Linked DNA regions of Struthio camelus. The protein of the gene in region 3 interacts with the protein of the main gene of each other region in a biochemical or structural test. Links are inferred from orthologs where the notes say so. Each region holds a gene or a part of one and is shown on either strand. Other genes may lie near its edges. The genes, in order: TDG, NFE2L2, CREBBP and NUP98.

Region 1 (7,425 bases), on a different chromosome or scaffold from region 3:
CACCAGAGCAACAGAACTAAAAGGAAGATCTAAAGACGTAAGACCTAAACGAACAAAATCCTCGCAGGGAAGAAGGACGGCAATGTAGAAGTGCATAAATTAGAAAACACATGTGACATAGAGTATACTTCTTAGTTTTTATGCATTTGTTTAAGAAAAAGGGACACTCATTAAAAAACAAACAATCCTTAGTGCATACTAGCAATTCAGTATTTGTGATTATTATAACACACCAAAGAAACACCATTTTAACAAAAATACTTTAAATAAACAATATTACACTGTATTTTTCTTTCACAATTAAAAAGCAAAACAAAACAACTTTCAGCTCAGCCTAGAAAAAAAGAGAGACAGCCTTCCCTCTCTAACCTAATGTTAAATGCCGTGAAACCAACTAAAGATGATACTTTTACCTATTAAAACAAAAATTCGCTGTTCTTGGGACAAGATAATTTTTCGAAACTGGACTACTTGAATATTATAATCAGGTTTAACTCTACTACTTGGTAACAAGTGTTACTAAACAGAATACATCCTCATACTGAATTAAATTCTCAATACATACTGAAAGTATACATACTCTATACTTCCTCAAAGAGCACCAAGGAAAGGAAATCCAATAGGTCTAAAGAAGCAGTTTATTAAAACAAATATACGTATACACATACGTACACACAGGTACGTGTATATATATATTTAAATCAAGAAATTTTTTTTAGCTCGGTTAATATAGTCCGATCAAGCTACCTACCTTTAGTAGGTTCCTGAGCCAAGTTTGGCTCTGGAACGTCCTCTAGAGTGGGCTGCTCAGTCATGGCTTCCATGTTGGGCACTGCAGTCATCATTGGATGGAACGGAAACGTATAAAAGGCTTGAATTTGCTGAAGATGCGAGTAATATCTTAGAAAGGCAGGAAAAAAAAAAAAAAGACAATTCATCAACAATTTAGAAATTCAGTGATGGACCAAGTAGTCTGTAATCACCAATCTCTGTCAAGGCTGGCATGTACTGCAAGTACACTCTCCAGTATAGTCTGTTAGCAAAACAAGGCAGTAAATTATCCAAATCCACTAAGTAGTCAGACTGTTTCTTGGGTGTGGGATGATGTTCAACTCAACAGGAATAGCCCAACCCTCTTTTAAGTAACAAAAGGTTAAAGAATTGCAACACTGTAAGCACAGCCTAGAGCTTCCATTCCTCTGGAAAAACACTTTGTAGAATATATTAACAGCACAAGCTGTCTATCAAATGCAGTGACCAAGTACAACACAACTGAGTTAAAACTCTTTGGACTTAAAAGGTTTCCCAACTTTTAAATTTTCTTACTGTCACAGCAGTTACTTTATCTGATGACACAGAACGGATGTGCAGAATGGGGTACAAAACCTTACAAACACACGTAGCAGTAGTTACTGCGCAGATTACTAAAGAGCTTTAAGAAACAGTGCAGTAGATGCTGTCCAGTTACTTCGCTCTGCAGCTCAACACAAGTACTGTGCTTATTCTATAGAAAAGCATTTATGCACAGATTCAGCCTCCTTCCATGCACACAGACGTTTTGCCCTACGTAACCCTTCTGCTCTACATATCTATTAGACACGTGCAGGCCATACATACCAACAAAAACTTGTGCTTCGTATTCCCATTCCCTCTACCTATATAGCCTGCTTTTTGTCCATAGATTTCCACTGCTATTCAGATGCATAAAAGAGTTTTCACGAACAGTAAAACTGCAAAGAATATGTTCATCATCTCAAAGCTACTCATAAACATACCGAATAATTTTAGCTATATATGGGTACCTCAAAGGCACACACTTACCACCCTTGTGATGGGGAGGCATCATTCTCTGTTATTCAATGAATATTTAAGAATCCTACTGTAAATCAGATTTATCCCAGAACAGCCCACAGTCTTGCGATCAGTCCACTAACCTTGAACCAAATACCTGCCCTGAATCAAGGAGAACGAACCTGAACTTAGGTCTCCCAGATTTCTGGGGAGCAGTCCAACGAAGCCATGGGATGTTTTCGGAGTATAGTAAACACCCCAGTCTCTCCAGCTAGCGTTGTTCCATTTAATATAAAATACTCATGCAACTACTGAACCAGGCAGCAAAACTGATTGTCAGATACGTGTTAGGGAACACAGCTGAGACAAAGAATCCAGTTCCTAGTCTGCTAAACGCTTAATTATACAGAACAGGAAAACGTCTGAGAGAGACTTAAAAGTGTCTAGCACAAAAAGAGTCGCTAACAAGATAATCTCTTATAAGGTACCGATCAAACTCCCTTTAAACAGAAGAAAATTTGGCACCATGTCACAGACGAGTCCTCTAACCGCTTAGTGATGGGACGAAAGAGAGCCTTCACCCTCACCCCTAACGCTCGTATACATCTTTTTGTTTTTAACTTCTTTTGGAGAATCGTTTTTCTTGTAAAGGTTCAGAACCACGACGTTTTGTTACAGATGAACGGGATATGTTATGGAACGTGTTACAGGCAAAAAAGAACGTTCAAATAAATATTGTCAGTTCAACAAAGAAAAAAAACACGGATTGAAACCCCTTCAATTCAGTGCAAGCTAGAAAGGAATAAAAAGAAAAAATCCCCCCAGAAGAAAAAAATATATATATTAAGTCACTTGCAAATTCCACCTCTACGCGCGCAGCCCTCTCTTTTACACACAATGAGCCCCAGAGCCGCTCAACCCCCACAGAAACGGACGCTCATCCGCGCCGAGACCCCCTGCCCCCCCCCCCCCCGCACACCGCAGTCTCCAAGCCCACAGGTTGCTCTACGCACTCTTAATACAACGTGCATTTTCTGCATCTACGCGGTGCCCAAGCCTTCCCCTCTCCCCTCCCCCCCGCCCGCGGCCCCCTCCGCGCCCGCGCACACGTCAGCCCGGCCCGCGCGGCCGCACCTCCCCCTCCCTCCTAGAGATGGGGGGGGAGGGGAGGGCATCAGAACCCGGCCCCAGCTCCCCCCCCGGCCGTTAACGGAGGGCAGAACGGAGACGAAAGGCGACCCAGCGCCAGGCCTGAACGCGGCTCCCGTCCCCGGCCGGTACCTGCTCAGCTCCTCGGCCTCCATGCCCAAGCCTGGAGCCTCCCCGGAGCGGAGCGGGCTATTGTCAGGACGAGCGGCGCGGCGCGACGCGACCCGGCCTGGCCGCCCCCCCCCCCGCCACTGCTTGCCGACCCCCTCCCCCCGCACCTTCGCTTCCCCAACAGACCTGCCGGGCAGCCGCGCGTCACGTGAGCGGCGGCGGCCAATGGGGAGCGAGCCGGGCCCGTGAGGCGGTGGGGGAGGGGCGCGCGGGGCGGTGCCGGCGGGAGACGGTGTCGTGCTGCCGCCACTGGCCCTCCCCCCCCCCACCGGGCGCTCGGGACAAGGCGGGTGCGACCGAGCCGTTGCCGGCGCGTCCCAGGCCCGCCTCCCCTGCCACACGCTCCTCGGAGGGTTTCAGGGACATGGCTTAACCGGCATCGTCCGCACCGCGGAGAGGTACTGTGTAGCGACCCCCCACCCCGCGGCCCCGCCGCGTCTCCGCGCCTGCACCACAGAGCTCTGCTGGCTCGGCACCGTAAGGCGGGGGGGGGGAGGGGGGCGCGGGCGGAGGCCGGATGCCTGCCGCGGGGTAGGAGTGAAAACGCGTCCAGCCAAGCCCAGGGCAGCGGCGGCACCTCCCGCCTCCCCCCCGCCCCCAGCCGGCTTGACCCCGCCGCCGGCCAACGGCTGCGAGCGCGCGGGGGATGACGCACATCCGGTGCGTCACGCCGTGCGGCGACGCCAACGGCCGCCGCGGAGTTGCCGTTAGGGCCTCGGCGGCGGTGACGGCGCCCGCCCGCAGCCTCGGCCCGGCTCTGCCCCGGCGGTTATTTTGTACGCGAGGGCCGTGGCCGCCGTCCTTGCGCCGCGGAAGCCCCGCCGGAGCGAGGCGACGATCGCCTGGTTGCTCCTTCCCGGTTCCCCCTGCGGCCCGGCCATGCCGGCGGGCGTGCCTTGGCCCACCTACCTGAAAACGGTCGGGGCGAGTATGCTGGCCATGTTTGCGGGCGCCGAGGTCGTGCACAGATATTACAGACCTGGCCTTGTAAGTGCTCACAGAGTCCGCATTTGTGATCGCTTTTACGGAGAGGCTTAAGAGCGTGCATGCGAGGTGAAGAATCGTCTGTGGCAATTTTGTTTGGAAAGATGCGTGGGGCAAAAGTCCCGTGGTGCTGCTGCCAAAAAAAAAGAAAACACACTAATACGAGCATCAGAACAGGAAGCATACAGGTGTCTTCTCATGGGAGCATTCTTCTAATTAGGAACAAGATACAAAATACAATCATAGTTACCTAAAATTCTTCAAAATAAATTTTGATTGTGGGAAGTTTTTTTGAAAGGAGCATGTAAAAGTGGCAAGAGGCGGCTATATTAAAATTAATTTTTTTTCTCCTAATGAGAATCAAGATGCCTAAAGGTTTAATATATTAGGAGTCACAGTCAAAATTCTGATCATGGAGAACCAAAGTCCAAACATGACCACCCACCCAGTACAGTAATGGTTGATATGGTCTCCTGGCATCCTTCTCACTTGTAAGCCTGCTCTCCTCCTCCTGTATACTTTTTATTGTTGCTGTCATTTAAAAACACTGTTATTTAAATTAGGAATTAGCTAAAAAATCACTACGCTTGAACAGTCATCTCAAAAATTGATTTTTTTTTTGCATTGCTGTATAGGTACATTAAAGATTTTATGCATTTTTAACAGTTTCAACTTAAGTACTTCACTACAGGGTAATAGGCTGATTGTTCATACATAGATGTGTGTGTTTGTAAATATACAATTTCATCCCTAGCTTCAGTGTTTCATTTGTAAAACCAAAAGATAGAAGTGGTGAGGCTTTTTTTATTTTGGTCACGAAGAGAGATAATATGTATGGAAACTTCAGCTGATGTTTTAAAACTATACTGGTCACTTCCAAAGAGCCTCCTTTTTCAGATTAGAGGAAACTGTCCCTTTAATCAAGTTATTTTTATTTCTTCCCTTCTCATTTTTTTCAGATTACTTTTTCCTACTTTAAAATAGTCAGAAAGATTATTATACTCTTTGAGAAAGAGCAAAAATACAATCACAATGTGGATATACTACTGTTTCTTACAGGGTACATAAATTTACTGTTTATTTTTTTTTCTGCCAAAGCACTGACATTTCTGTTTTTAAACAGAGTATACCTGAAGTACCTCCTAAGCCTGGAGAGCTGAGAACAGAACTGCTGGGTCTAAAAGAAAGAACAAGCCAAGGTCAAACGTCACAGCAGTGATCACAATTTACTTAAGTTATGAAGACAAACTGTTAACATTGTTCAACTGTGTCAACTGGAGCTTTGCAAACTTGATTAAAAATGTGCCTGTGAAATACTGTACTCTTAATAATGTTTTTCTGTTTCTTGGAAGTAGTTACAGGTAGCATAAGAATAAATGCATTAAGAATATTGTTCAAAGTCCAGCAAGCTGTGTACACTTGTGACTTTGATTGCAACATAAATATCCTTCAGAAGGATAAAAGATTAAGATTATGTTGGCCAAGGCTGATAGAATTTGAAAGGTTTAAGCTGATTAGCACATTGAAGAGTTGAACTTTTATGGACCCTCATCAGCCTTAAGCAGCTTACCTGTTTTTCTGTAGCAGAACCCTACTTGCCTGTTAGGAGTTCAAATTTTAAAAAGGGTGAGAAATCAATTTTATTGGACCTAACATATAATTACTATAGTAAGTTATTTGTATATGCAATAAGATTCCTCATTACAGCACTTGCATTGGACCCTTCCTACTGCTGTGGTGTTATGAGCTGTCTGTAATTCCAAGAGGAAGTTTTGGTCCACTCTTAAGATTGAAGGACCCGAAACCGTAGTCATGTTAGTTAAAACAGACCAAGTAAGTATACACAGATTACACTTAAGTGATGTACAGCTGTACTGCATTTGTGTCCAAACCTCATAGCTTTTGAGGCTATTGACCCATTACAAACATGCTGGAAAAGATAGTATAGGGGGCAGGGGAGTAGGATGAGCTCTCTCCTGCTCCTATGTGCCCCTATGGACGTTGACACTAAGCAGATACTGCAGCCTAATTAGGCCAGAGACTTCCTATATGGAAGACACCTTTGTAAGTGACAGTCATACAAAAAGTACACCAAATGAAAACTTAAATCCAGAGGGACACAGATGTTATTAGGCCCAGTTCCAGTGGAAACACTTCCCCCCCCCCCCCACTACACCCAAAGACAACACTGAAAACCTTGCACCTCAGCATGAGACCTTTGCATGAGAATCAATAAAGTTCCCTGAAGAGTCAAGATGTTCACAGCAGTTTTGCTTCTGTTCAAGGCTGTAGCTTCCCACTTGAGTTGTAGCTGAAGCAGGAACAGTGGTTTTTGAATTGTCCCTCTAGAGCCAAGAGGCCCCAGTCCTTCGAGTTACTCATGCTGTATCACCTTTGTCCTTCCACTGTTGCCTTTCCATCTGAGGTAGAGACTAAATCTTTCATGCTAGAAGGTACCATAGAGAAGCTTACCATCACTTTCATCAGAACCCCCAAAAGCATCCTGCTGCTAATGGAAACTGAGCAACAAGGAACACTTGTTTTACCCCAGCCTCCACTAGCACTAAGGGAACAACTGATGAGCACCCCTCTAGGAACAGCAATACTGGCAAGACAACGTAAACAAAAAAGGCAGTTTCCTCAAAACCAGAATAACCACACCACTAGACAAAAAAACCCCAAAACGTTCCCCCCACCCCCACACCCCTAAGAGCAGAGGATAGCTCTTCCAGCATTGATATGCTTTTCCATCAAGCTGGCCAAAAAGCTTACAACTGCATGTTTGTGCTTATTTATAGCAAACACTTGTCACTCCACAGCAGGGAGGGCAGCTAGCACACCACCATATTGCATACAATACCCTCAATTGAGGAAGATGAAGAAGCATGAACAATGACCCTCAAAGCATGCTTTTTATTAGTTCCAAAAGTGAATCAGACAGCATCCTGAAACCAACCAAAGCATGAGAACTTCAGCTGTGGAACAGAGCAAAGGTTGCTTAAAGCAGACAAATAATTAACAGATTTAAGAGTTCTGTAGCAAACAACCCTATACTTCCAATAATATTCCTTCTGTAGTTGTTAGCTGTTTTAAAAAGCTCTTAAACATACAGTAGATGCAAATCACATATACTACTCAAGCTGGTCAGGCAGAGGTATAATATAGACATGTAATAAACGTACACCCTTCTTCAGAAGGGCTCTGAATGTATATTTAACCCAGTAAGGGATGTTTTCTTTACATTCCAAACTAACTCTCCAGATTCATTACAAGCTGTATTTTAGAAGTATTAAATCAAAATCTTAGGAGCAATTGATTGCTACAGAGCAC
Region 2 (7,184 bases), on a different chromosome or scaffold from region 3:
GTTTTTTCCAAACATACACCTCAAATTCAGGGCAGCTCACTTCTCCACTTTGACAATAGTTTTCTCTTTTTCTGCAAAATCAACATCTACCTCCCTGCCACTCCTTAAAATACTGAAAGCATGCTAGAGTCTCACAGCACTCCCTTTGAGCCTGGGGGGAAACAGCAGGAGTGACATTCTCCTCTCTGGCTCATTAATCTCTAGAGCCAGAAATATATACATATTTCCTTTTTCCACCACATTCGGTCTGCCTTTAGCTGACTGGCCATTTCTGAAACAGCAGCTAGATCAGGGCATTCTTGCTCAGTATCTCTCTGCAGAAGATCGTTTGGCATTCTATTTCATACGCTCCAAAAGTAGCCAGGTTGTCCTAAATTGTTTAATCAATGTGTATTTTAGCAGGTAGCTTTAAAATAACACAATTTTAATATAGCGGATGTGCCTTCCAGGGGCTGAATGCTATGGAGATTGAGTCTCCCTCAACATCTTAAAAAAAAACAAAACAAAACAAAAAACCACGTTGTTTGAAAAATCTAATTTTACTTTTCCACAGTTTACTTGGCTAGTATAAAAATGCGTGGTTCCAATCCCAGTTCTGGTTGTGAACCTTATCTAGTCTCAACATTCGTGATGAGATAGATTAGTGAAGTAATACTACCACTTGATTAGAACTGAACACATCAACGTATTGAGTCCACTCCTCTTTGAGTTAAATACATCTTTTAGGTTTAGATAAAAACTTCTGCTCACATTCTGAATCCCTCTTTCAGCTTAACAGAGATATTTATTTGCTACTTCTTTACTGTATCTTTCATCAGTAGGATTACAAAACGATTAAGTCGCACTTATGTGCGCAAAGTTAATACACAAGTTGCATAATGAAATTGGGAGGCTCTGGCAAAAAGATGAGATTGTTTTAGAAAAGAGCGCATTAGCCTGCATATTTGTTTGTACATGCTTGATGCATCAACAAAAATCTGCCCTGCTGCCCCAGCAAATAAACTGAGTGATTCTACTGTGGCTTACTTTCTAGCTGCTGTACAACCACCACGTACTGGACACATCGTGTAACTCCATTTTAAAAGGTATTCAAATAGCAGCCATCTCAGACAGAAGTCTGCTTCATTTCAGGAAAAGTTGGTCTTAATAGCTTTATTTGTTTTTTCTCCCAAGTTAAACTCAAAACTGCACCATAACAAAACTGGCATTTATTGAATTTGGTTATTTTTACATGAAGGGCCAGGATTTTTTACTGTAAACAAATAATACAAAAAATACGTACTTGAATTTAACCAGCATCTAAAAATACCACTGACCTTTTAACCAAAGGAACACATAAGCCTTTGCATCCCAGTCCATTTTATATATTGAACTTATGGTATTTGGAAAACAATTACCTGTTAAATGATTATCTTCAAGCTATCCTGCCGTACCCTGCCAGGCATGTACTGTGTGTGGACATTGCCACAGGCTACCCATTAGTTTATCTAGGAGAGGATTTGTTTATAATAATGGTTCAGTCATCTGGGAAACATGATCCAGTCAAACAATAGCATGCTCTTACAGCCAGCGAAACACATCAGGAAGTAAAAAAGATGAACACAGAAACAGAGAATGGAATCTAATAAAATCGCAAATAATCTGTTTATTAGGTTATATTAACCTCAGGTTATAACTTCATGGCCACTGTTTTAATGTCACTAGGATTACCCACTTTTTGGAAAGGCATATTTCAAGCCAAACATGAAAACATAGTGCATTTGTTCTTAGATCAAAATGTTCTCAAAGATTATTTAGAATCTTAGCTGAACTGCACATTGTCACTGCACCGGGATCTCTTACTACAAAGCCCCTATTTCTAGCTGCCATTTTGCTGCTGGCTGGGCAGGTCGCGGGGACAGGCACCAGATGGGTTATTACAGCTAAACTACTGCCTGGGTGCGGAAATAGCGTGTTCTAGTATTACAAGAAGCATTTCTCACCAAGTTTCACTTCACTGATCTCACAAGCAACTTACTTTTATTGCTGTTGGTCGTGGGCAAGCAACTGGAATATCAGTGTGGGTTAGAAGAGCGTTGAGGTTTACTAACTGTATGCCAGCACACATCTATCAGCCCTCATTCAGTAACATACATATTTACTTCATAAGGCTGAATCAAGGACATTCTTCCATACTTCCAAACTGAGCTGACAAAGAAAAGAGCAAGCATGCTTTTAAATGAAGAGAGCTCACCACACAAACACCTCACGAGCCTAGAAGTATTATCTTAAGAATAAAAGCTTAAGAATAAAAAGATTAATAATTGAAAGGAGTTTAAAGGAAAAAGAGAGCAGAGTTTGTTTTATATTAAAAATACTCCACTAAGAGAACATTAATGAGGTATGCACACTTTTAGGCACTCCAACTGGGCAACAGAAAAAGCAGACAGAGAAAACTGACATAAGTCATAAACCCCAATACCCTTTTTATTTCTGAGACAAACTGGACTGTCATCCTGGTCCTCAAAACAGCCTGCAATTCACGGACATGGACACAAGTGAGAAATGTTGCCGTTCTATTGGGATTAGTAACTTTGAAGTAAATTCACTGCTTTAGGAGTTATGTTATTTTTAAATGCAGCACTGTAATGTTTTCTACAAACGCAAATACAATTTGGACAACAGAATTTGCCAATGGCACTGATATCTGATACATCCACTCCACATAGTCTTCTCAGGCAAAAGCTCTACATTTTCCTCCTCTTTTTCTTCTGCCTCTTTACTTTTACAGTACAGTCCTAGAAAATGAGCCAATCAGTAACGCACATAGTTACTGCACATAGCACACAGTAACACATACAGTAACTACATAGTAACTTTGCAGGGATTACAGTTTGCTCCAGTGGTCAGTTGTGACATGCTCTGTGTACCCCAGCCCAGATCCAGCAGGGTATTTAGAGCCTACCCCCCGCTGCAATCTGTGGGGCACAGGTGCTTTAATTCCTTTGTGGATCAGTCTTGCAGCTAATGCATACTCTTCACATACATTACTTTTATACATATGAATGATGGGAATTCAGTGCCAGTGCACAGTTTTGAATACAGAAATAAGTAGTGTTCAATGTAATACTATATCAGAGAAATAAGTGGCAACTATGTATTTCTGATTGCCCTCAAGCATATGATGAAGGGAAAAGCTCAGCACAGCTCATTTTCCTTTTTTTTTTTTTTTTAAATAAAGTGTTCAACTTCAAATACACTTAGACAGGTTGTTCCATTTCTGTGGAGGAATAAAAAACAGGAAAAAAGCCGAAAATACATTGCTATTCGATTGCTCACATTTGACGCTACAGGACCTTAAGAGATTTGGGAAACAGGGTTCCCTGTGTGGCAAATTTTTGCTATGGTGACAGTTCATCTTTCAAAACAAGTAATTCATGATTAAATGGTTTATTTATGCACAGCCTTCACTAGTGACATGCTTCAATTTACTATGCACAGCTTTCATTAGTGACATGCTTCAGTTTCAGATAAGCATCATTAAATAACTATATTGTTCAACTGTGCACTATCGAAGTAATCAAAAATGTTCTTCCTAAATTTACAAGAAACAGCATAGAAATCCTTACTAACTTTGTACAAAATGAGTTTGCTCAGCCTCCCAGCTTCCTTCAGCCATACCAAAATACATGATGAGAATTGTTTTTCTCTATAATGAGGAAAGGTCAGATTTTCTTTGCTCATTTTCTTAAACACTGAAGTTCACATATCTCTCAGTAAAGAACAATCCTGTTAAAAATTATCAACCCTTCCTCACTAGATTTTTAGAAAGCTCTTATACTTAAAGGCCCTGAATGGTTAAAACCATTAAACCAGAAAGGTCAAGAAAGGCACAGCAGATGTCCAAGCACCAATTTATCATTTTTGTCTACGATGACAGCATTTGCATAAAGAAAAGGTAAACCCAGTTAGGAACTGAGTAACGCTATTAGAAAGCAAAGCTTTGTTTCTGTGTTGTGCAACCCAACCCTTACTTTTTGAAGTCCTGCTCATTATTCAATTTATAAATCGAAAGCAAAAGGGGCTAACTCATATTCCAAGACATGAACCAAAGTAAACTGTTTCATATTTCTTACCAAATTATATAAATGCAATAATGCTTGAAACCCTCCAGAGAACAACAAACCCCCCTAAACTCAACCATCAATAACTCACTCTTTCCACACAAATCAACAGCCTCTACTTCCTACCACCTTACTTGTGGCCTCCTTGTCTGCCTCTCGCGTAGATAGGAGTCTCCCTGCCTCCTGGATCCTCCTGGAGTCAGCTATGTGGCTTTTCCACTACCATAAAAGAAGTCAGTTATGACAGGCCTGCCTCTTTCAGCCTACTGATTAAACGGACAGATGTACCTAGGAAATCAAGGTAGAAGCCTATTCCCGATGTGTGTCCCCTCACACACTCTACCAGCAGCTATGATAACCAAAACAAGACTGTTTTCTATGAATAATAAACATGTCAATATACCTCTTCCATCCATAAACAGTAAAAATTTTCCGTGCATGTCAAGATGCTTAACAAACCTTCAATATTTGGGGGTAGAGGAGGAGAGGAAGAAGAGAAGCCTATCCAGTTTGTGAGTATATTACAGAAAATCAAGAAACTTTAAATCCAAAGCAACTCAGTGCAGTCTGTTAAACATTTATTTTTAGTTAATGACTTGGTCTGTTATCTGAAAAATGAACTGATCTCTTGGACGTTTATAAAGCAATGTATTTACACAATACATGTTAACTTAGTTAAGTTCAAACCTTAGACACGTGCTGGTTGAGTGCTACATACAAACAGTTTAAGAGGGCAATTCAGAGCATTTCAGATATTTTCTAGAGCTGCAAATTTTATCTCGCATGACCACCAGCTGCAGTTTGATAAGGCATTCCACAGTCGCTTCTGAAAGGAGAATGTTGGACTGTGATAAAAAAAAAAATACAGGTTGCCAAGAGAATTAGGGAAAGAGCTAAACTTCCTTTTTCCTTCAGACTTTTAATTATTCTGTATTCAGTGAAACAGCACAGCTAATCAACTTCTATCCTGGCATAAAAGCAATCAATATTTGAAAATAGGAATTGTTTTTATCTTCTCAGCTTAGCTGGCTTCTTACTCCAGTCTACATTGTTTCTCCTGCACCCATATCATCACAATAAATTTTGGTGAAGAACGTTTGATTAATTGCCCTTTGAATTCTTTAATGCTTCTTGTTATGTGAGCCAGATACCTTTTCTCTGTTCCTCTTCTCGTCCATCACGAAATTCCCAGTTCAGGAAGGAAAGAGGTGGTGTTGGTAAGCCAAAGTAGACTCTTTCTAATGGTAGAATAAGCCTAGCAACAATGTTCAAAGTTTTTAATTCATTCAGTTTGTCCCTTCTTTTTTGCCTCCTTTGCAGAAAAAAACACCTTCTTCCTTATATCTAGGGATTCAAGGAAGTAGCTTACCCCTTTTCCTCTAAGTTTCTGTATGACGACTTTTACAGCTGGGTTTTGAGGAGAGCTTTACTAGCTGCCGTTTGAGAAAGACATAGGTATTTTTTTAAAAGTTACCCTAAGTGGCATAACAAAGTGAAAAGAAAATCCTTTACAAAGATCCCATTTCAAGAGCAGAAGGGGTTGAGAAGAAACAGACTTACCTTGCTGCCTCTGAAGAAAGTGTCTAATCTCTAAAGGCAGGGTGAAACATCCCAGCACACTGCAGGCGTATCTATCAGCAGCTGAAGGACAGCAATTTGCTGATGTATGAAATAGAAAGTAAGTGTAACTGTCCTGAATATCTGCTGCCAAATTAAAGTTTGTGTGCTGAATCCCCTAATTCGATAAAATAAATTTATTTGGCAGACTGTTTCTAATATCAGCATTTACTGCTGATTTTTCTGGTAGAAGGCAATATTAATTTAATTGCTTTCCAGACAGAATTAGAATCAATTTGTTAAGCAAAAGGAATAAAATTAATCTGTAGATGACCGCTTAAAATCTACAGTAAATACAGAATTCAAAGAATTTCAGGTTTGGATCCTGGCTGAACAGTTTTCTGTCTCTGACAACTGGAAAATCAGACTGAAGCAAGCTGTCAGTAAAAAAATCACAAAACTCCAAAATTTCTCTATAGCACAGTAATTCACATAATGAGACACAGATATCTTGTTAGGGTAAATCACTATTCAGTCAAATATTAAGTGTTCATTCTGTCATTACTATTTGCATTTTATAAGACCTTGTTCATCATATATGCCACATATACACACATGATTTATTAAATATACTCATCCTCAGGTTTATTCCACTTTGCATTTAAAATAATTTTATGTCTCTGATCTTAGTAACACAGACATTTTCAGGATAATCTAAAATACTTCAGTGATTTGTTAGATCACCATTATAGTTTCATTATTTAAGTGAGTGCCATTCTTCATTTTGCCAACAGAAGAAACTGAGACATGATGAGATATGTCCACACTGGTTATCAGATGAGCAAGGATTCCCGAGAGTGGTTTGCGCAGACTAGATTCCTGAGGTGGCAGATGATAAAGGACCACAGCTCCAGCTGGAGAATGTTCAGCAGAACTACAGAATTCCACCGAGTCACAACAATTTATACTAGCTGAAAAACTGACACAACAGTTCTATAAGATTCCAGTTCATATATCCAAACTGAATTAAAAATCACAATATTAAAAGCCACTGTACAGGAATTCTCTGTGCTAGAGCCTACAAAAGTATGACACACCTCAACATGATACGTATTTCTACAGCCAAGAATTCAGCTTAAACAATTTGGAAAACCAGCTGTCAGAAGTTAGTATGACTTAGTTTCAGATGTCAGCTCTGTTTTATATATTATACTATTTTAATAGTACTAGTTTTGCTATTAAAATACTTCTGGTTTCCATCCTTAATTTCTTAATCCTATTCATTTCAAAAGCTGGGTTTTTATTTTTACTTATTTTACAAATATCAGTGGAATAATCTTCCAAAAACTCCTCAGCTGACATACAGTCCTGGTTAATGCCTCTCTACACTAGAAAAAGTAATAAGTGCAACTATAACTCAATGTTATGAAACATTTTTAAGAAATATATCCACACACCTCATTTCAAATAGTTCACAGAAGATCACCCGAGGCTCTACAATACACTTGCTCCAAGGACATCTCA
Region 3 (8,026 bases):
GTGCTCAGAGCTCAAAGCAGGACCAGCTCAAGAACTTTGCTGGCGTTGCTCGTTTGGCAGGATACCGTGAACTGGCAGGATATACAAAGTAATCACGACGCTCAATGTTAAAATAATACTCTGCAATAACTGAAGTTACTATAATTCTACTTTTCATATTAGTCTCTGGTTTATTCTAAAGCAACCCAGATGAGAACGCCTCATAAGATTTAAACGAGGTACAAATGCTTAGTGAAGAAAACTAGTGGGTATCTAATAAAGTAGCCATTAGACAAAAGGGCTAATCTACCTGGCTACATACGGGAAAATCTCGCCCGTGAATATTCTTATCATATTAGCCAGCTTGTTGAATACTGAACGGCAACGGCCAGCGGAGCCGGTAGCCATGGGTCTTCATCAGCATACTTCATTGACAGAAGCAGATTTCAGAGTTGCCCTGGTGCTAACTGTTACGACACCTTATGATATACATAGTATACGTTTCTGCTATCCTTTTCTCTACTCCCTTCTCTTAGATCAGAGATTTGATTTAGCTATTTAACAGGAAAGGTCATATTTTCAGAACGTAAGCAAGCCAGTTTAAATTGCACAAACTTAGCTACAGTAGGCTAAGAAGCTATTTTTACCAGAAAGATTAAAGGGAACTAACATTTACCCTGACAAAAGGAATTGCTCAAGATCACCGCATCAAAGCATCAAGTGAAATATAAACAAGAGCGAGCAGCTGCATTCTGCTGAAAATTCAGGCCTGCCACCAGACCCTTCACCAGCACACCACTATACTCATTTCTAAGCATTGGCAGGATTGATGCCTCGTTATTCAGCAACAAAACTACACAACTGGGCCTAACACGATGTCTTTTAAAGCATGTCCCAATCACGCAAGCCGCGGCATCAAACAGCTGGGGTTTATGACTGCAATTACAATTCAGTTATCCAGGACACAACTTACAGCTTGTTAAGTAAGGGCACGAATCTCAAAACTATCTACCCAAATCTCTCTGATTTAAAATAAATAAAGAGCCTTCCATGTTGCAACGACTTTTTTATTTAAGCCTCAGTGCAAGAGAGCAGCCTGCTTTAGGTTCAGGACCAGGGATTTGATAGAAATCACTACTCAAACTATTTGTATTGCCTACTACAACACATAGAAGAGTTCAGCAATCTTTCAACAAGTAGTATTAGCTGCTGGCAACAAATCTTAAAAAAGAAAAAAAAAAGAAAAAGAAAGCAAATTGAGAAAAGCACTTTTAAGCACACAAACATCGCTTGCACCCTCAAAGAGATGCTTCCCCTCCCCGAAGAACACTAGGATCACAACAGAACACAACCGAAATACTCCTATTTGTCAAAAACACAACCTGAGGTTTTCTGTCCTTGGTGACCAAAGGTCCTCTCAGCTGCGCAAAACTTTATGCAGATACTCAAGTTTACATTTCTAGTGCTCCACAGAGCTCACCAAGACGCATTAGAACTTGCTGAACAGGACGTAATTATGACTGAAGCGTTCCAGAACAGACCAAGGCAACGGGGAGGGGGGGGAAATAAAAGAGAGAGAAAAACCTGCTTCAAAGATCCTTTCCTGGCTACCAGTAGCCTCTAACGTGTCTATTTGGGCAATTAAAGAAAAACTGTGTTTTTCTGAGTTACTGCGGTGCATTTCACAGCACCTTCTGCATCAGCCTTCACTATGATATTCAGTCACTTCCACAAAAAGGGATTAAAGTAGTTCAGTCACAAGACCTCACCCAGGTATTCTCTACCCATTCTTAGTCTCAATATTGCTTCTTTTTGGTATGTTTCATTTCTTTGCAGTTTGGGAAGAAAAAGATTCCATTAAAAAAAAAAAAAAAACCCAAACCCACAGACCTATCTATAAAACTACTGCCAAACGCAGACTGAGCAAACTTAAAAAAAAAAAACCCACAGAGTTTATCAGCTCCATTACGGTAATAATTTTTTCAGTCTATAGAAACATAGCAGGCATAGCGTGATTAACTTATCACTGTCCCTTAAACGAGATTCATTAATCTCCGAGAACCGAAAGACCCGTCAAACATATCACTTGTTCCTATGCGGCCCCCGTGTTGAACACTCGGGACACTTACAGAAGTAAGTGCACGCACGCCTGCGTTTCTGCACACGTGCGTATTTCCAACGGGCAGGCGATTACTGGAAACGATCGTTTTGATGCATTTTATTATCCACACCCCCCACGACGATTTAAAAAAAAAAAAAATAAAAAAAGGAGAGAAAGAGAGAGGCGCGCACCGAAGACTGCACGACACCCGGCCAAGCCGCAGCCGCCCCGAGCCCGCCGGCCGTGTCGTCACGGAAGAAACCCCACAACTTCAGCGCTGCGAATTTTTCGACACAAAAACGCTGGGCGCGGGCTGGGCCCCCACCGGCGGCCGCGCAACCCGGCGCGCAGCCGGAGCAGCCTCTCGGCAGCCCTCGCTCCGCCGCTTTCCAGGAGCACCGACCCCCCCCACCGCCGCCGCCGCCCGCCCCGCCCCGCCCCGCGGAGGCAGCGCGGGCCGCGCACCCAGGCGGCTCCCTCCGCCCGGCCCCGCCGCCGGCCCGGCCCGGCTCCCCGAGCGCCGCGGCCAGGCCGCCGCTATTTATAGCCGCGCGGCCGGGACGGGAACAACCGCGCGGCTCCCGCCCGGTAACTTCGGCCGCGGGAGGCCCGGCCGCGCCGGCAGACGGCTGCGGGGCGCCCGCCCCGGCCGCGCCTCCCCGCCAGGCCGCGTCCCACCCCCGCCGCTCGGTGAAGCCGCGGGGAGGCCGCTCCCCCCCCCCCCCCCCGCCCCGGGTAAGCGGCCCGGCCCGCTGATGGGCCGCCGCCGGATGGCCGGGCCCGGCCGCCGCCTCCGTCCCTCCGCCCGGCCGCCCCCGCGCCGCCCCGCGGCCCTCACCTGTGCTGTCGCTGGCGGAGAAGCCCGGCGAGTTGAGCTTGGCTCGCTTGGGGTTGGGCGGCCCGTCGAGTAAGTTCTCCGCCATGGTAGCCGGCTCGGCCGTGGCAGCCCCGCCGGGGCCCGCCGCGCTCCCGGGATCGGCGGGCAGCCGCCGCCGCCGCCGGAGAGGAGAGGAGGAGAGGCGCCCCGCTCCGCTCCGCTCCGCACGGGAGCCGCGGCCGAGCAACAGCGCCGCTCAGTGCCCGGCCGGCGGCGGCCCCCGCTCCCCCATGCCCGGGCCGGGCCGCCGCCGCAGCAGGCCGCAGGGAGGAGGGCTCGGGGCGGGGTGGGGAGAGCCCAGCGCCCCCTCCCTGCCGGCCTCGCTCCTCCCGGCCGCTCCCCCGCCCTGCCGCCGCTGCCGCTGCCGCCGCCGCCGCCGAGGAGGTGCCCGGATGGCGGCTCAGTCAGTCACTCGGGGAGCATAGCGCCCCCCCACCCGCTCCTCCTCGCCCCGTCCCCTCCCCTGCGAGCGGGGGGCTCGCCGCGGCCCCGCTGCCGCCCCCGCCCGCCGCCCCCACCCCCGCCGCCCGCCCGCGGCGAGCCGCGGCCAACGGGGGCCGAAAAAATAAAGCCCCAAAACAATGAGGGCGGCGCGGCGGCGGCCGCCGCGGCTCCCGGTCCCGGTCCCGGCGGCGGCGCCCGGCTGGCCCCGGCCGGCGCTGCCCCGCTGCCCCGAGCCCCTGTGCCCGTCGGCGGCGCTCCGCGCGGCTGCCCGTGCCCCGGCGGGCGGCCCCGCTGCCCCGGCCCGGCCCGGCCCGGCCCCGCTCCGCTCGCGCCGCGCTCCGGCTCCGCGACAAGATGGCGGCTGTTGATTCCTCAATTAAAAAAAAAAGTTTTTTTTTCTCTTCTCTTTTCCAGAGACCATGGGGGCGGGACCGGGGCGGGGCCTGCGCCCTGCGTCACCGCGCACGGGCCCCGCCCCCCGCCCCCGCCGCCGCCGGAAAGGCGCGAGCGGCGCCGGAAAGAGCCGAGCTCGTCCTCAGTTGCTCCGCGGCGCGTTGCCCAGGGTTGGGGGGTGGGGGGGGGAACGGCCCGCGCGAGGCCCGGCGGGGCCCCCGCCCCCCTCCCCGTCCTCCCGCCCCCCCCCGTCGCTGTCGCCTCTCAGCGCCCCGCAGCTGCCCCTCGGCCGCGGCTGAGGCCCGGGCCCCCTTGCCCAGGCGGCCAGCGCTGGGTTCAGGCGGGGACGGGGACGAGAGGGGCCTTCAGGCGATGCCGGCCTGTCCCCCCTGCCCCTGGCTGCCCGTCGCCCCCCGCGCTGGCTCGCTGAGCGCCCAGACGCCCTCCGCCCGCTCCTGTCGCGTGTGGCCTCGCTGCCAGCGGGCTCCTGCCTTCGCCCCCTGCTCCTGGCTCTGCCCGCGCCTGCCGCCTCTCAGCCCGCCCCGGCCCGCGTGGCTCGGGGCCGCGCGCCCTGCCGAAACGCCTGCCCGGTTATCCCCGCCGAGCCCCCGAGCTGCCTCGCAGCCCGCCCGAAGGGCTTCCCCCCGCTGCGCGCGCCCTTAGGCCCCTCGCTGCTGCTGAGGGCGTCCGCCACCGCCCCGCAGCCGTACGCGAGGGCAGGGGCCGCGCGCCGGCCCACGGGGACGCCCACGGCCGGACCCGGTCGCTGCTAGCTCAGCTCAGGCACCAGGACCCAACCTAACGGCCGGTGGGCTCGGGGCGCCGGGCACCCGCTCCGACCGCTTGCTTCCAGCCGTGCCTCCGCTCTGACTAGACAAACCTCCCTGGCTGAAACAGGTTTGTAAGGCTGGAGCTCGTGTACTTCAGTTGGTTTCCGTACTGGTTCCTAACCTGAGAAGAAGGTCGTTCTATAAGCCCAGGCGACGTGCCATAGCAGCAAAGCGTCTCGTACCCAAACTAGTTGCTCAGGGCTGTTTTCATCGCTTATTGCTGTATGTCGACATATCCCTTAAGAGCAGTCCTAACTGGAGGACAGGCGGGAGAAAGGAGCTGAGGCGATCCTGCGGTGTGTGCATAAAGTCCATAAGCTGAGATGGATTAAACAGCAATCTTTTATTTTTTGAAAGGAGATCTATAATGACACCTTCTTTTGCAAACAGAAAGCCTTGTCTTTTGTTTACTGCTACCTCATACTCATTACATTTACTTCTATATTTACATGCATTTCGTTACGTTTACTTGCAAATTCTATATTTATTTACATGGCGCCTGCTCTTGTAGAGGCCTGGCAGTAACCAGCTCTGTTTCTATCAGTCTATTACTCATTTCTTAAACAAGTGCGGGGGCTCTCTGGTTATGTCTGCCTTTCGGACGTCTCCTTAAAAAGCAGAGAGTTCTTGTACGTTTTAGGGTAGTCCAGTGTGAGGCAGGGCTTCAGCTCCAGGTACGAGTCCCAGTTCTGAACGGGTACCTGCAGCTGGAGCTCATTTGGGTGGGAAGTCCATATCGGTTAGGTGAGGCTCCAGCTGCTTAAACACCATTGCTACAGATGTTTATGAGCCTTCTCTGCAGTAGTGTGACAGGCCACTAACCCCTTGGCTTCAGGTCTTATCTACTGCTTGAGATGTTTCAAGACTGGGAGCAGTAAAATGTGTATTTTAAAAATGAGGGCAATGCAATGATAGAGGGGCACTGTTTCTCTCACATGGGTAGGGCATCTAAAACACAGAAGTGAGGATCTGCAACAGCTTCTCATTGTAATACAAGGTGTTTGCCCCAGTTTAGGCTGAGGGAAGATGTGTTTCTGCTGCACGTGGAGAAACGGAAATCAGGTCAGCTCGTCTGTCAGCCACAACAGAGGACAGCAGTGCCCTTTGCTACCTGCTACTTGCATTTTTCAAGAAGGTCAGTCAGCGAGTTTTGAACCGTAGCTTTTGGATAACTTTATGCTCTTACCTTGCCCGTTACATCGTGTATGGTCTTGAAAATAAAGGATTTGCTGGAGTGGCTGGCATCAGCAGATGCCCGTAGCCTTTCGCTTCCCTTATGACCCCCTTCTGTGCTGCTGCGATGACACTAGAGCTCTGGCATGGAGTCAGGATGGGGATCTCCTGCCAGGAACAGAACCTAAGTGGTCCCACAGCTACCACTTAGCTCCAGGAAGATGTTTGATAGACCATATGCTGAAGTTCCACCAGTATTGCAGTTCTGATCACACAACTAGCAAGCAAGAGGACCATGACACCGCCACTGAACCTGTCACGGTAGCTTGTGTACCAGCCTGCTTGGCCCTGCCTGGCCCTGGTGTGCCTCTGCCCTGCCAGAACAATGCTGCATGCTCAGTGTTGGGAATGGGGATGGGGAGCAGATGGAAGTAGGCCACTCTTCCTCTCCCTCTAGCTGGAAGAGCTCTTCTATCTTTACAGCAAAGTGCCAGGCCAAATGAGACTTGCCACGTAGGTAAAATCAGAGGGGAGCTGCGAGTCCCGGAAACCAGAGGGGGAGAGGAAGGAGGTGGTTTGGAGGGAAGGAACCCTGCACACCAGGGCAGCAGGAGAGGAAGAGGAAATCCTAATGCTACTGCGTATTGCAGCTTCTCCATGGCATGATGTCCCCTTAGGATGGCCCTAGTCATCCCCCTGCCATGGGATCAGAACAGCATGGGGATATTGGCAGGAGCGGGGGGAAGACCTTGACCCTTACTTGCCCAAAAGGCTTAATAGTACTGCAGTGCTCAGGATACCATAGCCCTTTGTTTGTGTCAGTCCTGCAAGACTCAGGTGGCCTCACCGTAATGCCAAGCACAGTGAGCTACAACTGGAATAGGATGATTTTGTGAGAAGGAAGGAGACTGTCTGGGAGATATTACACAGCAAGCAGATGAACCCCAGTCCTGCAAACTTGTGCCCCGGATTCCCAGTCCTGGCCCCCACCGTACCTTGTGCATAAAAGCACAGCTCCCCCTCTCCCCCGAGCTGACAATTTAAGCACGTGCATGGATTCCTGGGGACTTTATCTGTGGTGCTCAGGAGTCACTGTGAATGCAGGTGCTTAATGGATAACCCCTTTATTCGGGGGTTATATTACGTCCAAGAGAAATTGCATAATAAAACCTGCACTGCTGCAGCCCATTTCCAGACTCCCTGTCTCCAGAATTAAGCTTCTTAAAGATACAGCTCCCAAGAGCCTATCTTCCTTCCCCAGCCAAAGCATGGAAGTATCATTTCTGTAGCGTGCGACCTCAGATCCTCACAGCCAAACAATTAACAGTGTTTGAACAACTTCTGAGGAGCTCTGCACTGTAACTTGCAGGTCACCATGGCATCATCAGAACAGTTCTCACTGGGAACTGCCATTTTTCCTGGCAACGTTATGTCCCAGAGTTTGGTTGCCTAACCTGCTGGTTTTGCTGCGAAATTAAGCTGTCCCAGGCAAAAAGACAAGCCTGGTGTCCGTTATCTTCTCTCCTCCTGGTTGCTGGAGAAGGTGCTGCCTATTCTTCTTCCAAGTATGTCTGGTTAGACACACCCTGCACTCATGGGACTGTGGAGCAACTTTATGTGACATAACTGTTGTTTCTGGCTTCTGATTTTCAATGTATGTGTGAATTCTTCTTGTGTTCAGGAAGTGGTAGTAACCCCTGGGACCACAGTCATGCTGCTGTTTTGTGTTTAGCTTTGTGTCTGTGCACTTTTGCAAACCCGTAGTTCCTTGGGCTACAGCGCCTAACATCCCAAGCAGCCTATCGCTTGATTTTCTGCAGAACAAAATATCTGCAAGTGGCTGGCTGTATTTTGTAGGTGCCATCCTTGTAATTTAATGCTGTCAAGCATGAGCTTGATTCCACTTTCCTTTTCAGTGAGTAATTATTATTTCAAGACCATTTATTATTTTAAGACCCTGTTGAATAGGGTCTAGTGGGGACTAGGTGCTACCTATGCAAAGATGGACGTTTCTGTGAGCTGCTAAACCCCTGCCCACTGTCTATCATGACCATCCTTTCTACAAGTATAACTCTGATGCCCAGAAATCCTCCATTTAACAAGTAAGGTTATCTCACAGAAGTGAGAATAACAGTTCAGGAAAAACATGTAGTCTTCAATTGTCATCCTAATCAAATCCATCACTCCAAGAGGTCCGTTTTTCTTATGCTGCAAATGTGAAGCCCTTTT
Region 4 (7,939 bases), on a different chromosome or scaffold from region 3:
AGGCTTAGTAAAAGGGGATTTTTTCCAAAACGCTCCTCTAACATCTTCTCGATACACAAATCAAGTCCTGCACCCTACTCAACCTTCACCTGATCGGCAGCCATTCCCTTGCTTTACCTGAAGAAGAGGGCTCTAACCATAGTTTTACAGCAACATAACACGAGCCTCAAACCGCACCCAAACAGAGCCTGAACCAAGATACCTGAACATAATTTAAACACCGCGTTAACAGACCCGTGGCGCTGCTCCCAGACCCCCACCGCTTTAAGCCCCTGAAAGCGGGGCAGCGCCTACGCTGCCGAGTTTACAGGTAACGTGTAAACGCGCAGCGGTTGTGGGGACGGAGGGCTCGGCTTCACCCCGCGCGCCCCCCCCCCCCACGGAGCCAGCCCGACAAACTCCCACACCGCCACGGCCCGGCGGGGGCCGGCCCGGCCGGGGCGCTCCGCACCGCCGGGGGCGCGGAACCGAACCGGCAGCGAAGGTCACCCGCAGCCCCTTCGCGGTGGAGGCGGCTGGGGAACAGCGCGGCCTCCCCCCCTCCTCACCGGCCCGGCCCGGCCCCGGGGCCGCGCGTGGAGCCGCGGCCCGGCCCTCCCCCCTTTCCCGGCACCGCCCAACAAAGGCCGCGGGGCGCCCCCCGCCCGCCCGGGGCCGTCCCCGTCGCTCACCGCGGGCGCGGGTCGCCGAAGGGCCGGGGGAAGGGAAGCGCCGGGCCGCGCCAGGCCGGGCCGCACCGGGCCGGGCCTCGCCTCGCCTCTCCCGCGCCGCCGCCGCCGCCTCACAGGGGGAGGGAATCTGCGTCACACTCCGCTCCGCGCGCCTCCCAGCCGCCCCTGCGCCGCGGCGCGCGCGCCGCTCCCGCCTACCCTATTGGCCGGCCCCGCCCCCGCGCGCCCGCCGCTCATTGGCTGCCGCTCTTTGAAAGCGAGACGGCTCCCCTCCCCTCCCACCTCACCCTGGTGGGAACGGGAAGCGAAGGGGCTGCTGCTCTCTGATTGGCTGCAGCCACGCGCCGCGTCCTGCGGCGACCCGAGCGCCGATTGGCCGGGCCCCGGGAGGGGGAAGGGCGGCCACTGAGGAAGGGTCCAGAACAGCCGCACCACTGGGCTACCCTACATCCGGGGCGTTGGGGGGCGGGACTTCCCCCGGCCTGGCCAACCCGGCAGCGCCGGGCCGCCTCCATGTTGTGACGCAGCGGGCGGGGCCGAGGGCCTTAAAGGGGCGCCGCGGGGAAGCACTTGCTCCACCGGGGGGGGGGAGGCGCCCCGCGGGGCCGAAGGCGATTCCAGCCCCACGCGCGTCCCCGTGGGGCGCTCGATGTTGACCCAGAGCCTTCGGCGCCGCCGTACGCTCCTGTGGGGCTGCACCAAAGAGACACACAAGCTCTTGGCCCTGCCGCGCCCCGCGTGGGGCCGCCCCAGAGAGCCCTCGGGCCCGCCGCGCCCCGCGTGGGGCCTCCCCGGAGCGGCCTCGGGCCCGCCGCGCCCCGCGTGGGGCCGCCTCAGAGAGCGCTGGGCCCCGCCGCGCCCCGCGTGGGGCCGGAGGCGGGAGGAAGAGGAGGGATGAGCGGGCGCGGCCTGGCCCAGGGTGGGCAGGAAGAGGCGGGCGGCGGGGGGAGGAGGAAGGGGAGGACGGGGAGGAGCGGCGGCGGCGGCGGGACTGAGCCGTGTGGGGCCGGTGGGTGCGAGGGGGTCACGGGGGGGGGAGACGTGGGGGGAGCGGAGAGCTGGAGGGGTCACGGGGGGCCGGGGGGAGCAAGGGGGAGTGAGGAGCCGGGGGGGTGGCGGGGAGCGGGGGGGTGGGAGGGTCGTAGGGGCAGTGAGGTGCCGGGGGGCGGTCACGGGGGGAGTGGGGAGCCGGGGGGGTGGCAGGCGGCTGGGGGGGGTCACAGGGGATGGGGGGAGCCGGGGGGGTCGTGGGGGCAGTGAGGACCTGGGGGGGTCATGGGAGGAGGTGGGGGGAGTGGGGAGCCGGGGGGGTCACGGATGGAGCTGGGGGGGACTGGGGGTGGGTGACGGGGGGAGTGAGGGGGCCGGGGGGGGGAGCAGGGGGCTGAGGGAGTCGTGGGGGCAGTGAGGAGCTGGGGGGGGGTCACGGATGGAGCTGGGGGGGACTGGGGGTGGGTGACGGGGGGAGTGAGGGGGCCGGGGGGGGAGCAGGGGGCTGAGGGAGTCGTGGGGGCAGTGAGGAGCTGGGGAGGGTCACGGATGGAGCTGGGGGGGACTGGGGGTGGGTGACGGGGGGAGTGAGGGGGCCGGGGGGGGAGCAGGGGGCTGGGGGAGTCGTGGGGGCAGTGAGGAGCTGGGGGGGGTCACGGATGGAGCTGGGGGGGACTGGGGGTGGGTGACGGGGGGAGTGAGGGGGCCGGGGGGGGAGCAGGGGGCTGAGGGAGTCATGGGGGCAGTGAGGAGCTGGGGGGGGTCACGGATGGAGCTGGGGGGGACTGGGGGTGGGTGACGGGGGGAGTGAGGGGGCCGGGGGGGGAGCAGGGGGCTGAGGGAGTCGTGGGGGCAGTGAGGAGCTGGGGGGGGTCACGGATGGAGCTGGGGGGGACGGGGGGAGTGGGGAGCCGGGGGGGGTCACGGATGGAGCTGGGGGGGGCTGGGGGTGGGTCATGTTGGGAGCGAGAGGGGGGGTCACGGGGGGCCGGGGTGGGGTGGGGGGTGTTGAGCTCTTCGGACGGTCACAGCGCTGATTCGCTTTTCGGCTTTGGCCGCGCGGGGGCCGGGCCAGGCTCTCACGTCGCCCCCCCCCCCCCCCCCCCCCCGTTTGCCCGCAGCCCCCCCCAGCGCGATGCCTAGAGCGGCCGCGATGGCCGAGCCGCCGCGCAGGTAACGGCCCGGAGCCGGAGCCGGACGCAGCCCTTGCGGCAGACGCTGCCCCCGCGCCGAGGAGCTCAGCGCCGCCGGGGGGGCCGGCACGCCGCCGCCGGCCTCCGACCCTCGCTGGTAAGCTGCTTCCCCCCTGCCAGGGTTTGACGGGAGCCCCGGGGGGTGGCTCCGCAGCCCGAAAGAGGGGCCGCGTCCTTTGGGGGGGGGGGGCGGAGGGCTGCACTTCGCCACGGGCTGCTCCGTCCCCTTCCCACCTCCGCTTCTTCTTTGCAGGTCCGTCGACATGTTACAGGTACCGCTGCCCCTGGACCGCGATGGGATCCTGTTCCGGCTCCGTTTCACCACGCTGGCTGTTGGCACCGTGTTCTGCCCGCTGTTTGGTTTCCTTTTCTGCGTGATCTGGTCTCTGCTGTTCCATTTCCAGGAGACGACAGCCACCCACTGCGGGGTAAGCGCCTCTCACCGGCCAAACGCAGAGGTCTGCAAAGGGGGCGCCTGGCGCGGCGGGAATCCTGCCTTGCTCCGCGCTCTCCCCCCCGCCGGGATACGTGACCTTGGATACGTTCCTCTCCGTTATTGTGCTGCTGATGCCGCGTGACTAGCGGTTGAGGTTCCCGCTTTTAAAAAGGGATGGAGGGTAGCGCAGCCTGGCCTGGCCGACGTCTGTGCTGAGCAGGCGGGTGGTGACTGGAGAGCAGAACTAGCGAAGCTGCAGATAAAGATGGTGTCTCATGGAAGAGTTAACCCAGCTTTGGCAAAAGGAGTTCCTGCCTCTTGGAGGCACTGGAGGAGTCGCAAGCGCGTGCCTGGGAGCGGTCCGGTTGACAGGGACCTCTTGGGTTCCCAGAAGGGTTCGGATCAGGTTCCTCACCAAGGCTTTCAAGCAGCCGCGGCACAAGCGTGGAAGTCTGTGCCTGCACAAGCACCTAGCGAAAAGGCAGGAGTAGATAATCTCAGCTCTCACAGCAGCAGGAGGAGGTGACCTCAGGGTGTTACAGGTGTCTGTGGTCTTCCTTGTGCCCGTGCGCAGTGGGGTGACGAAGACTGCTGGCGATGGCAAGGTGCTGGTGCAGGAAGGGTGAGGCAGGCTGTCAGGGGCTGCGTCCAGGGCGGGACGCAGCTGGGCGACCGAGCAGCAAAATGCCAGTGCGGTTCCATGCAGAGAAATAAGTGATGTGCATGTGGACAGGCACTCCTGAGGTTGCCTACAATGAGGTGGAGGTGGGCTCTGCGCTGACCATCGCCGCTCCGGAGTGAGGTCTGGGGGAGCGATAGATGTTCTCGTGAAACTTCCACTCGGTGCTCAGGAGTAGTTGAAAAAGTCAATCAAAGCCCAGGAGTTGTTAGGAAAGGAGTAGAGCAGAGCGGGCGGCATTCATGCCGGTGTTGGCCCGTGGCTGAGACGTGTCTTGAACAACGCGTGCAGGTCTGTCCCCTCCTCCCAAGCAGCAGTACGGGATCTGTACGGAGGAGAGCAGCGAGGATGCTCAGAGGCGTCACGTGGGGATGACGAAGTAAGCAAGGATCCTTCATTGTCAAATGGGAAGAGATGATGAGGTGGGAGAGGTAGGATAGAGACCTCTAAAGCCATGGCTGGCGTGCAGAGCACAGACAGGGATCCCGTTCGCCCTCTGCCAGCGTCAGAGTTAGAGGACGCCGTATGGAGGTGGCAGGTTGGCAGCAACCCCGTGGGACCCGGCTCCTCCTCAAGCAGAGGGTAGTGGATCTGTGGACTGTCCATCCACAGGAGACTGTGGGTACGCAGCTCTACCTGGGTGCCGGCCAGACCGAACGAGATCACGGAAGAGTAATCCGGTGTGGATTACCTGCTACGTAGCCATCGCAGCCGGCTTGGGAAGTCCCTGAGCTCTGAATCCTTGAGGCTGGGAGTCTGTTCTGGGGCTGTATCACTGATGTTTTGCTTGCTTTTATGTTCCTCCCTGAACATGCCTTTTGCCCATTGTTCCTATCAGTTTTCCCTGTTAGGGATGGGCTCCCAAAACCATGCACTGCACCCTTCTCTCCTCTCTCTCCCAACCGCCCCTGCTGCTCCCTGAGACCGGCCAAGGATCCTGCACCCTGGCCGGCGCTGGAGACCGCGTGCTGGGCTGGATGGACCCTGAGGCTGAAGCAGGACTGCTGCGCCGTTGCATTCCCTGGCTTGTGACACAGGAATAAAACTTACCTCGCCGATCGCTGTAGCGTCTCGGAGAGCCCGCCACACGTTCCCTGTGCCTCTCCAGCAGCTGCTGTCTTCCCTCCAGGTCCCCAACTACCTGCCCTCCATCAGTGCCGCGATCGGGGGCGAGACCCCTCAGCGCTACGTCTGGCGGCTCTGCATCGGCCTCCACTCGGCGCCCCGCTTCCTGGTGGCGATCGCCTACTGGAACCACTACCAGAGCTGCCGCTGCACGCACCCTCGCTACCTGCGCCTCTGCCACTTCAACCTGCTGCTCAACCTGCTCGAAAACTTCGCTCTCCTCGTCCTGACCTACGTGTCCTCGTCGGAGAACTATGGTAGGTGCCCCTTGCCGCGCTCTGCGCCGGCCGCCTTGCCGGTGGCTTTGCTCGCGGTTGCCGAGGTTTCGCAGAGTTCTGCTCCGTGAGGACGTTTTGGAAGTAGTCCGTTTGGAGAAGAAAATAGTTTAAAATAAAAAAGTTCTGCTTCAAGTAATGTTTATATGGCAAAATTATATCCACAGTGTGCGGGTGGAACTTTTCTCCCTGAAACGCTGGGTTGCTGTTAATTCGCCCAAACCACAGGCTGAATTTTTGTAGCAAGCTTGAAATCAGAATTTACGGTTTGGTTTCCGCTTCTGTGCTGAGACCATGCTTAACGCTTCTTGTCACAGTCGAGTGTACAAAGGAAGATTAGTGCCTGTTCCTGCTATCAGCTGAGGTTTGGCTCAGAACTGGCTTCCAGCCTACGCTCTGTCCTGGCAGCCTGTTAAATATCCTCGCATGACATTTTCTGGGTGAAACTTCCTATGTTGATCTCGGGACAAGTTAGATTTTTTGAGGTTAAATCACAGCATGCAAAACAGGATCAAGACGGGCTGGGAAACGCCCTTCTCCCGCGTGGTCTCGTCGGCAGTGACTTTCACTGCGAGCGGTGACGCGCGACGGCTGACTCGAGCCGGCGCACCAGCAAGGGGGTGCTCTTGCAGAGGAAACAACCCCAGTTCTGGGGCTTGTTGGCGGGACGGTCGCGTGTCAGATGTTAGCGCGCTCCGCTGGGGTGACGCTGCCCGGCTCTGGGTGCTGCGCGCGAAGGACGCAGCCGCAGAGCCCCACCAGAAGGAAGCCAAGCGCAGTCCCGAGAAGGAAAGGCCGCGGCAGCGTTAGTTTGGGGAAGGCGAGGGAGCAGCGCTTACCCGCCGCGGTGAGCGGGGTGAGCTGGGGTGCAGGAATGCAGCTGATCCCGTACTCGGCAGAGTATGTTTGTACCCACAGCGGACGGGAAAAACCAATTCTCAGAAGGCAGACGCGGTGGGTGTCGGGAAGCCTTTCGATTGCTTGGAGCAGCAAACTACCGGGACGGGCTACGGCTCCGTCACTGGGGCCCTCCAGGAGCACGGGGAAAACGCCGCGGGGTCGAGCGGATCCCGCCTCGGCGCAGAGGACGGGATGCGCCGTTCAGATGCCCCAGAGCGCATTGCCATCCTCGAGGATATGCCTTGCAAAGGGCCACGGCGCTCCTCCCCGGCGGGCTGGTTACCTGCAGAGCCCTGGGGCTCGTTGCACTGATGACAGCTCCGCCAGACGTGTGCAGAGCCCTGGGCGGAGGTGGCTGAAGCACAGCCGAGGGGGTGGGCAAAGCCTATGCTAAAAGCTAAGGCTAACCCAGTTTGCTCTGCTCTTCTTATTATAGACTAATCTCAGGTTCCTAGGGAAAGTCTCAGACCGTAGCAGCAGCCTCACATGACGGTGGGCTCAGTTTAATCATCTCTGGCAGGACACTGCTCATGTCTTCACAATAAGAGCTGCCTCTGCGGTCTTTCTTTGCTGTGGTCTGATGCATCCTCTCCCCTGAAACAGGGAGGGGAAGGCAGGGAAGCGTCGCTCCTTGCGGTGGGGTGTCCTGGTTGCTATTTCCACTTGCGAATTCAGTTCTTGGAGGAAGAAGCTGGGAAATTCTTTACTGAAATGGAAGCACTCACTTAAAAATAACTCACCTGAAGTTGCCTAGGCCTTGCCTAGCCAGTGTGGCTTTGGGGCCTCTGGGATTACTCGGGTTTAGGGCTGCTCCAGCCAGCTGTCTTTCTAGCCTGACCCCAAATCGACTTAAGCTCAGCGACGCACAAGCAGCCTTAGCGTTAATGACGGGGCTGGTGGCCCAGTTGTTAAGTGGCAGGTAGGTGACGCGGGAAGCCAGGTGATGGCCCGATCTGGCTCCTGGACTGACTCACTCTGCAAACGACCCTCTGTGCCTCAGTTTCCCCATCCCTAGGACCAGAGCAATGCTGCTGGCTGCCTTTCTAGGGTGCTGGAGGTTTGCAGCCTTGTCGAGCAATTGAGCTTCTTTGGCCAGGTGCCTTTGGGATAACTCTCGGCGGGCATAACGTGCCCCGGGAGAAGCCAACATCCCTTTCCTGCCCCTGCTTCACCAGGAGCCACGAGGCGCCTGCGAGCAGCGTTCCTGTTACAGCTCTTCCCCCCCGTCTCGGCTTGGGGACGGGCGGCGTGGAGCCGCGCTGCCCTCGGGTCCTCGGGCTGCCGCTCGGCGACCCTCCTGTTCCCCTTGGGCTCTTGGCTCGTTTCCATGCCCGGTTTTAACCGCAAACCTCTTGTCTTGTCGATTCAGCAATCCACGAAAACGCCTTCATCGTCTTCATCACGTCGGCTTTGGGCCACATGCTGCTGACGTGCGTCCTGTGGAGAATGACTAAGAAACACACAGTAAGTCCCGAGGTACAGCACCTTTCCTTTCTTCTGCGCTCTGGGCTGGGCTGGGCCGGGCTCTCCGCTGGCGGTGCAAGGGCTTTGCCTGTCCGCGCCTCCGAAACGAGCACAGCCGGGTGGTGAATCAGATCCGCCAGCAGGTGGAACTGGCTCAAGGGAATTATGGTCAGCAGAATTCATGATTTGACCCCGTTTACTGAAAC

The links.
Region 1: the proteins of CREBBP (region 3) and TDG form a complex in vitro, tested with the Homo sapiens proteins (2 studies listed by BioGRID, with this or other methods). The link is inferred for Struthio camelus from reciprocal best matches to the Homo sapiens genes CREBBP and TDG.
Region 2: the proteins of CREBBP (region 3) and NFE2L2 form a complex in vitro, tested with the Homo sapiens proteins (2 studies listed by BioGRID, with this or other methods). The link is inferred for Struthio camelus from reciprocal best matches to the Homo sapiens genes CREBBP and NFE2L2.
Region 4: the proteins of CREBBP (region 3) and NUP98 form a complex in vitro, tested with the Homo sapiens proteins (2 studies listed by BioGRID). The link is inferred for Struthio camelus from reciprocal best matches to the Homo sapiens genes CREBBP and NUP98.

What each region holds. Positions count from the first base shown.
Region 1 is NC_090942.1:62,730,062-62,737,486, forward strand, and holds the start of TDG (G/T mismatch-specific thymine DNA glycosylase), read right to left. Parts: upstream 3,234-7,425; 5' UTR 3,096-3,233; coding exon 3,073-3,095; intron 2,814-3,072; exon of another isoform or gene 1,974-2,813; intron 901-1,973; coding exon 752-900; intron 1-751. UniProt on the Homo sapiens protein: DNA glycosylase that plays a key role in active DNA demethylation: specifically recognizes and binds 5-formylcytosine (5fC) and 5-carboxylcytosine (5caC) in the context of CpG sites and mediates their excision through base-excision repair (BER) to install an unmethylated cytosine.
Region 2 is NC_090947.1:20,389,393-20,396,576, reverse strand, and holds the start of NFE2L2 (nuclear factor erythroid 2-related factor 2), read right to left. Parts: upstream 3,174-7,184; 5' UTR 2,108-3,173; coding exon 2,018-2,107; intron 1-2,017.
Region 3 is NC_090956.1:18,495,498-18,503,523, reverse strand, and holds the start of CREBBP (CREB-binding protein), read right to left. Parts: upstream 3,145-8,026; 5' UTR 3,004-3,144; coding exon 2,919-3,003; intron 1-2,918. UniProt on the Homo sapiens protein: Acetylates histones, giving a specific tag for transcriptional activation. Mediates acetylation of histone H3 at 'Lys-18' and 'Lys-27' (H3K18ac and H3K27ac, respectively).
Region 4 is NC_090942.1:224,223,993-224,231,931, forward strand, and holds the start of NUP98 (nuclear pore complex protein Nup98-Nup96), read right to left. Parts: upstream 3,118-7,939; 5' UTR 3,089-3,117; intron 2,952-3,088; exon of another isoform or gene 2,783-2,951; intron 1,681-2,782; exon of another isoform or gene 1,621-1,680; intron 1,116-1,620; exon of another isoform or gene 959-1,115; intron 812-958; exon of another isoform or gene 672-811; intron 1-671. Other genes in the region: PGAP2 (post-GPI attachment to proteins factor 2), read left to right, coding at 3,118-3,282, 5,099-5,351, 7,639-7,745. UniProt on the Homo sapiens protein: Plays a role in the nuclear pore complex (NPC) assembly and/or maintenance. NUP98 and NUP96 are involved in the bidirectional transport across the NPC. May anchor NUP153 and TPR to the NPC.